Schizosaccharomyces pombe: one gene and its partner. The protein of the gene in region 2 interacts with the protein of the main gene of each other region in a pairwise test. Each region holds a gene or a part of one and is shown on either strand. Other genes may lie near its edges. The genes, in order: spe2 and aha1.

Region 1 (3,929 bases), 730 kb from region 2:
AAAAATGCTATCAATTCCTTCGATGATGCTCGTAAGCTGGATATCCAAAATGAACGTTTACCGCCATCTAATAGCCGTCGACGTTCTACGGATTTAAAGGCTTTCGAAGAAGTAATGAATTCGTCTGAAGATGATACCTCTATCGATCATTTGGTAGAACGCTTTGCAGATAAGAAAAGCTCTTTGTAGATACCAAAACCTGCGCATATTCGTTTTTTAGTTGGAATTTTTCAATGAGCATAAACCTGATCCGAGGTTTTAAGCATACTTACAACAAATATCTAAACACTCAAAATAAAGAAAGCAAATGAGTTTACTTTAGCATAATACAAGATAACCGATGACTAGATACATAAGCATTGCATTTAGATATTCATAATAAACTTTTTGGTATTCATAACTATGAAACCTTTTATAAAACAAGCAAACAAAAGACGACTACTTTTTGCATAATGAAAGATTGTAAAAAGGGGTATTCGCATGGCACGCTCCACCGTAAAAAAGAATGATAATAAATATAGCAACAGATAATTTAAAATATCTAGCTGACTGTTCTCCGAACTTATACTGCAGTAAAGCTGGCAAATATAAGATCATATCCAGGAAAGTCATACACTATAAATTCTTCACGCTTATAAGAGCTAAAAGATTTAAGTTTGGCCGAGAAATGCTTCTCTTGAGACGCACCTTTAGCCTGGAAAAGGGTAAGACAAAATTTGTTTGCACCAAAAGTTTTAACAGTTTTTTCGATTGTTTCAGATATGGATCTTCCGAATTGGAATTGCGAAACATTTGTTTCAAATGAAGCATAAGAACAATGTTCTTGAGGCGTAACATGGATTGTGGCATAGCGGTCCTTGTAAATCATATTCGACGAGAACCCAATTGGCTCAAATTGAAAAGCATCAAGCACTGCTTTTTTATCAGAGGTACTACATAAGTCTCTAACACCCGATTCATCAGCTACATAACTGCCAAGGATGTGACCCCCCGAGAGATTGTTTTTTTCTCGAACATAGTCATCACCTCTAGCGCTCCGAACAACATCCAAGGATGGAGCGTAAAACTGAAGCGAGCGTTCGGGAGACATATCAGTCATGAGTACCTCTAGGGTCTCATCTTCAGGATCAAGGGAATCTTCCAGTAAAGAATAATCATCAGCCAGATCAGAAAACAGATGCCAGTGATTCTTGTTTGTCGGACCCACTACATAAGAGCATCCACTTGGAAAAAACAGTTGTAAGTAACGAACTTCTTCCTCCCAACTCGTATGTGGTGCAAGCTGGCGTTCGGGATATAAAAAGTTTTTTCTTGAGTAAAAAATACGAAGAGGACGATCAAAGCCAACACTAGAAGCAATTTCTAATAGGCGAGGCAAACTAGCCAGTAGTGTAGTGGTTCCGCATGTTTTAAGGATAATTTTATGGGCAAACACAAACATAGAGGATTCAGAAAGTAAATATGCATCTATTTCTTCACTATTAACAACGCTGAGGACTTTACATTGGGCTTGGGCTAGCATATCATCCCAATCATTGCGAGAAACAGCTTTTAGTCCCAAGTTAGCCTTTTCACCCGCACTTAAATTGGTTTTTATAGGAGCCGAAAACCATAGTTCCAGCAATTTTTCAGGACCTTCAAATGAGGAGGTGTTAAATTCTTCCGAATTCTCTTGATCAACAACAAGGGTAGGAGACATTTTAGAATATAGTCATACAAAGAACTTCCAATGCTATATGTGCGCTGTGAGTGTAATTCCCAAAACACGTACTAGCTAGTTGCTCCAGTTACACTTTTAGGATATTTATTAGCAAAAAAGCATACAAATAATAACTTAATTGCGGCTGTCGCACCAATTTTATATGATGTTGAGGCTAAATACATAACCACAGAAACATCCTGTATCGATCAAAATTTTAAAACCCTACCCTAAATATTTTTGAATATGCTACAAATGACATCGACGCTAATAATAAATTTGGAAATGATGAGTTTACGATATTTTATACATATGATACATACCGTAGTCTAAGTTTCATTAGCGGCACAAACAACTTTAAAGAACCAAAAGTCTTGTTTTTAATGATTGGTAGAAATATTCTTTAAATAAATTAAGACATCGGTGATAGTAAATAGTAGGACTATACATGCGCGTATAATTCAAGTGTTTACGTTCAAATTAGCGAGCTTGTACCACAGATGATCCGTCCATAAATCGTACATGAAATAGTCGATTAGCATTGGTAAACATTCCTTCTTTAAGGCTAACAATAATAAACTGAGAACCTTTAAACTTTGTTTTAATAAGTCTTCCAATGTTTTGGGTATGACTTAAATCGAGCGCCGCGTCAATTTCATCTAAAATGTACATTGGAGCAGGCTTATATTTAAGTAGAGACATAATAAGAGCCAATGCAACTAGAGACCTTTGTCCACCACTAAGTTCTGCCAGACTATCTTTCCAAATTGACCCAATTTTTACATGAATTTCCAATCCATCAGTGAATTCTTTATTCTCTGGTGGCTGTAGTTCTGCACTATTACCAGGAAGTAGTTCGTCAAAAATTTCACCGAAAGAAGAATTGACTTCTCTCCAGGTTTTTTCTAAGGCACTCCTTTTAAACCGATCAATACTTTTGACAGTATCTTGGATCTTTTTCTTATCGCGATGAATGGTCTTTATCATAGAGCGCAATTTGGCTTCTTTCTTTTCTACACCGTCAATCATGTCCATAACCTTGGGATTAATAGCTTTACGCATACTAGCAAATCGCGGTTTCAAATTATGTAACTGCTCTCTACACTGACGCATGTTTTGAGAGTGAAAATCGAAAATGGTTCCTTGCTTACCAAAGTGCTGTTTCTGTCCATCTATCCAATCATTTTCCTTTTCCAAATGATTAATAGCAGTTATAGCAACTGATTTTTCTCGCTCTAATCGGTCAAACTCGTGGTTCAGCTTTTGAATTGTTAGCTCCCCATTGTTTATTTCAGATTCGAATGTTTTCATTGAGGTACTGAGTGAATCTATCTCTTTGTTAAGTCCAGAAAACTTGGCGCTTTCAATTTCTATTAGTTCGGTGAGTTTCTTTCGATTATGCTCCTCATTAACAAGTGACAGCTCAAGTTCTGCAATTTCCGTCTTTATTAAACTCGTGGTCGATTCACCTTGTACGAGAGATTGCTGATGGTTTTGCAATTCGCCTTCTAATTGTTCACATTCGAGTTTAACGCCATTATAGTCATTCTCGGACTTTTCCAATATAGGAGTAAACTCGTCTAACTTGTGCTTGTATTGATTAAACTCCTTTTCCAATTCAGCCATTTTTGATCCCTTGTTATGTTTCCATTCTTGCATGTCTCGTTCAATTTTTTTTATAGCTTGGTCACTTTGCAATATAAGTCTGTCTAATTCAGGAAGCCTTTGCTTGAGATCTTTAACGTCGTCTTTGTACTGCTGATAATCAGATAAAAGACGAAAAGATGAGTCGGTCTCTCTTTGCTCTATCAAAAGTGTTAATTCATGTTGCTTTAGTTGAATTTCTTGCTCAAGTCGATGAAAATTGGCATTTTGAGTCTTTAAGTCTTTAAGTTGAGTCTCCAACTTTTCATATTCTGAAGTAACTACTTGCAATTTTAGCTGCAGACTGTTCAGCTTTTGTATCTGTAGTAAAGGACCGGCAGATTTATTCACAGACCCACCAGTAAGGGTACCAGATGGGTCATAAACATCACCATCAAGCGTGACACTTTTTAATTTAACTGAAGGATGAAAGGTAACTTTCTTTGCCGATTCAGGGGTATCACAGACTAATGTGGAGCCAAAAACATACTGCATTGCAGGCAAAAGCTCATCGTCATAACCGATTAATTCCAAAGCAAGTTGGGCTTTATTATTAGAAATTTTTTTGGCTGCGCCTACTCTCTCT
Region 2 (3,929 bases):
ACATACAATCAGTGAAAATATTCACAAATCGTGGCATCAGTCAATCATGGCTGTAAAATTCATTAAATTTTAATAATTTTGAAAAAACAAGAGGACAAACTATGGTTATGCATTCTTGATAAAACCTGATTTTATCTATATTTCATTTGCCTTCAAAAAAAGCAAAACTCACAATAGAATACATTATTTGAAACATAGCCTGTATGCAGGATTTATAAAGGATTGTTAAATTTTTTTCTGAGCTAATCATCCATATGTGAAAGTCAAGATCGATTACAGAACAGCGCCAAAACCAAAAACTGTCTTAATGGGACGAATATAATAATCCTGAATATTACCTTGTACAACCTCCTCTTCGCCGATCGGAACACCCTTCATAATCATACGTAAAGTAGTATAAGAATCAGCTTGATCGAAGGTGAATGTTATTTCAGCATAGTGACCGGTGGGCCACGAACTAAGACGCCAAGTTTGCACGATTTTTTTGTTTTCTTCCAGTACAAGGAATTTTCCAACTACATTTCCATGGAACAGAGAGAAAGCGCCTTGCGGACGAACATCGAGTTGCGGAGGAGCGCGAGACCAAGCAGCTACGCGAGCAGGATCAAGGAAAGTAGCATAAAGTTCATTAGCAGGAGCATCAAAAGTATAGTTCTCAGAAATATCGGCAGTATTGACTACTGCTGATACACGAGAGCCATCAGAGCCAGATCCAGCGGCCACCGTGGTAGTACCTTTGTTAGACGAAGTCTGTGAAGAATTGTTTTGCTTAAAGCTACTATGCACGGGAAGTCCACGAGCAGCGTTACCGTTATGTTCTTCAGTGGAGAGATAAACATCGTCACCATGGGTTTGCAACAAAACTTGGGAAAATCCAGAAAAAAGCTGACGAATTTGAGGAATAATTTTCTCACGAACAAGCTCTTTAATGGGTTCTTTTTCCTTTGAAGCAGAGTAAATGTCGATGTCAAACACGTAATCAGAGTATCCTAAGTCATAAGAAAGCTCGGGGCAAGTAATGGAGCCAGTAGCTTCAACTCCATCCTTAGTTTCTCCTTTAAATTCCATTTGTATTTTCAAATCAAAAATAGTAATGACCTTTCTTTTGCGCATAGAGACATCGACATCTCCTTCACAGCTATTGACTTGGGTAATGCGAGCACTAGTGGGGCCCTCAGAAGCTTGGATCTTAGGAAGTTCCTTATTGAAGTACTCATGAGACCATACTCGACAATCCTTTGAAGTCCAATGCCTAAAATTGAGTTAGCGAATCAATCGTTTTATTTGGACATATCCATCGTTTCGTAAATATTCCAAACCTTTGACGATGAACTACTATTCCATATTCAGAAACCAACGCATTGAATAACTACCGACTCAATAAAGAAAAAACTTTCATAATAGGATCAACCCAATCTTGACATCATGATTTGGCTAGCAACAATGTAAAATGGTGAAACCCAATTTCGCTCGTTTATACGAATTCATTCAATAGAATATTATTGTGTTCAACCCAATCAAAAATGTCATTGAAATTGAATAAGGGATAATACGATGGAAATGAATAAAAACATAGTTACATGACTTAAGTTTGGAAATTTTTTTATCCCAACACTACTGTACATACCAGTTATTGGGGTTTATAGATGTGGCCGACATTCCTACTCAATATAAGCTAACAAATGAATTTCGTTCAAATTCTAAAGCAAACAAGGTGTTGCGTCCAATTTCAATCTCATGCTCGTTTCAACCTCCTTCTATATATATACCCCCACCTACACCACCCCCATCGAAGTCTCAGGAATCTTCGAGAGAAGGAAAAGACGAGTATCTAAGAGGACATGCAGTATGCTAAGCTCCGCTAGAAACTGTTGTGCTAACAATGAATGTGCTCTACTATCAATATATACCGCATGAGGTATAGATGGAAGACTAATGGTCTCAGTGGTAAATGCATGTTATTGTATAATAACATCTATTTGCAAATTAATCAACTGCATAATCATGCGGATAGTAATTTAAATTGTTAAACTAATAATGTGTATTTAGTGAAAAACCTCCGTTGGGAAAATTCTGCATCTTTCCATGCTGAAAAGGAAAGAAGATCCACTTCAAGACAGATATGAAGTTACATTTAACTTGAAAACTCTTTGTGTATCATATTGAATTCTATTTTTCAAATTAATAAAAATAAATAGTTTGCCTTCTCAGTTGGAAAGCAGTCGTTAAGCATATGATACAGTTTTCATAAATACACAAGCGTTCAGACTTATAACAATAACGCTTGAAATTAGCAAACATAGAGCGTAATTTGCTTTTAAAAGTAGATTCTACTTTCCAATTAAGATAATTATTATAATCTATCAAAAAAAACTTTTTATATCACCAAAACCGAACCAACCAAAATATGATAACATTTCACCACTCTCAAATGAAAAAAGAACGAGTGATTTAGCAAGAACTACTTGAACCAAACCCTTGCATTGAACAATATATACCGCATGAGGTATAGATGGAAGACTAATGGTCTCAGTGGTAAATGCATGTTATTGTATAATAACATCTATTTGCAAATTAATCAACTGCATAATCATGCGGATAGTAATTTAAATTGTTAAACTAATAATGTGTATTTAGTGAAAAACCTCCGTTGGGAAAATTCTGCATCTTTCCATGCTGAAAAGGAAAGAAGATCCACTTCAAGACAGATATGAAGTTACATTTAACTTGAAAACTCTTTGTGTATCATATTGAATTCTATTTTTCAAATTAATAAAAATAAATAGTTTGCCTTCTCAGTTGGAAAGCAGTCGTTAAGCATATGATACAGTTTTCATAAATACACAAGCGTTCAGACTTATAACAATAACGCTTGAAATTAGCAAACATAGAGCGTAATTTGCTTTTAAAAGTAGATTCTACTTTCCAATTAAGATAATTATTATAATCTATCAAAAAAAACTTTTTATATCACCAAAACCGAACCAACCAAAATATGATAACATTTCACCACTCTCAAATGAAAAAAGAACGAGTGATTTAGCAAGAACTACTTGACCAAACCCTTGCATTGAAAAATTAGGCACTAAAAAGTGATAGTTTTAAACACATTTATACCAGTCATAGCAGTGGAGACAATCGTTCCAGGTATTTGCCTATGCCAATGCATTTCCTTGATTTCTTGTTGACCCATGTGTATAAACATTAACTGAGGAGGAACGTCCTGCAACCCCTCTGCTGCACGACTGTCTTGTTCTTCTTCATCAAGCTCCACCGATAAATCCCATAATGAAATTTGATTATCCGCACCAACGACACCAATAACGGAATCTTCGTTAGGATGCCATTCAATACTGTATATAGGAGCACGGTGCCATTTGAAAGAAGCAACAGGAGTTGCAACTGAGGATGAACTTTTCAGAGAACGAAGGTCCCACACGCTCCAAACACCATTATCAGCACCAGTTGCCAATAAATTAGGTACACGTGTATTCCAACTTAACACATTAACGTCGACACCAGGATGAGCATTGACGGTAAGAGCTGACGTCTTTTGTTTATTTCGGACATCCCAGATGCGAAAAGTGCCATCGCAACTGCAACTGGAAAATACGTTCTTTTCACTAGGAGACCATTGTAGATCTTCGACAGCAGCAGTATGGCTTAGAAAAGGAGAAGAGTCAGTTTGCCAACCACCATTGCTATACTTCGTCAGGAATATCTCATTTGCATTGTCACCAGAAAGTAAAGAATATTCAAAGGGAGACCAGTCAAGTGCATATCCCTCAGTTTTATGACGATTAACAGTATAAAGCGGACTATTTTCCTTACGCGAAACCATCACACCAGGAGAATCCAAAGAACGCAAATGGGGAGCAATGTCCCAAATGTGAACTTTTCCAGTCTCATGAAAGGAGGCCAACAATGAC

What was found.
Region 1: the proteins of aha1 (region 2) and spe2 interact in a two-hybrid assay, tested with the Schizosaccharomyces pombe proteins (one large-scale study listed by BioGRID).

What each region holds. Positions count from the first base shown.
Region 1 is NC_003423.3:2,875,671-2,879,599, forward strand, and holds spe2 (S-adenosylmethionine decarboxylase proenzyme Spe2), read right to left. Parts: upstream 1,877-3,929; 5' UTR 1,700-1,876; coding exon 563-1,699; 3' UTR 400-562; downstream 1-399. Other genes in the region: calcium-dependent serine/threonine protein phosphatase calcineurin catalytic subunit Ppb1, read left to right, coding at 1-189; cut14 (condensin complex SMC subunit Smc2), read right to left, coding at 2,180-3,929.
Region 2 is NC_003423.3:2,146,855-2,150,783, reverse strand, and holds the start of aha1 (chaperone activator Aha1), read right to left. Parts: upstream 1,732-3,929; 5' UTR 1,660-1,731; coding exon 1,628-1,659; intron 1,253-1,627; coding exon 274-1,252; 3' UTR 1-273. Other genes in the region: WD repeat-containing protein Rrb1, read right to left, coding at 3,086-3,929.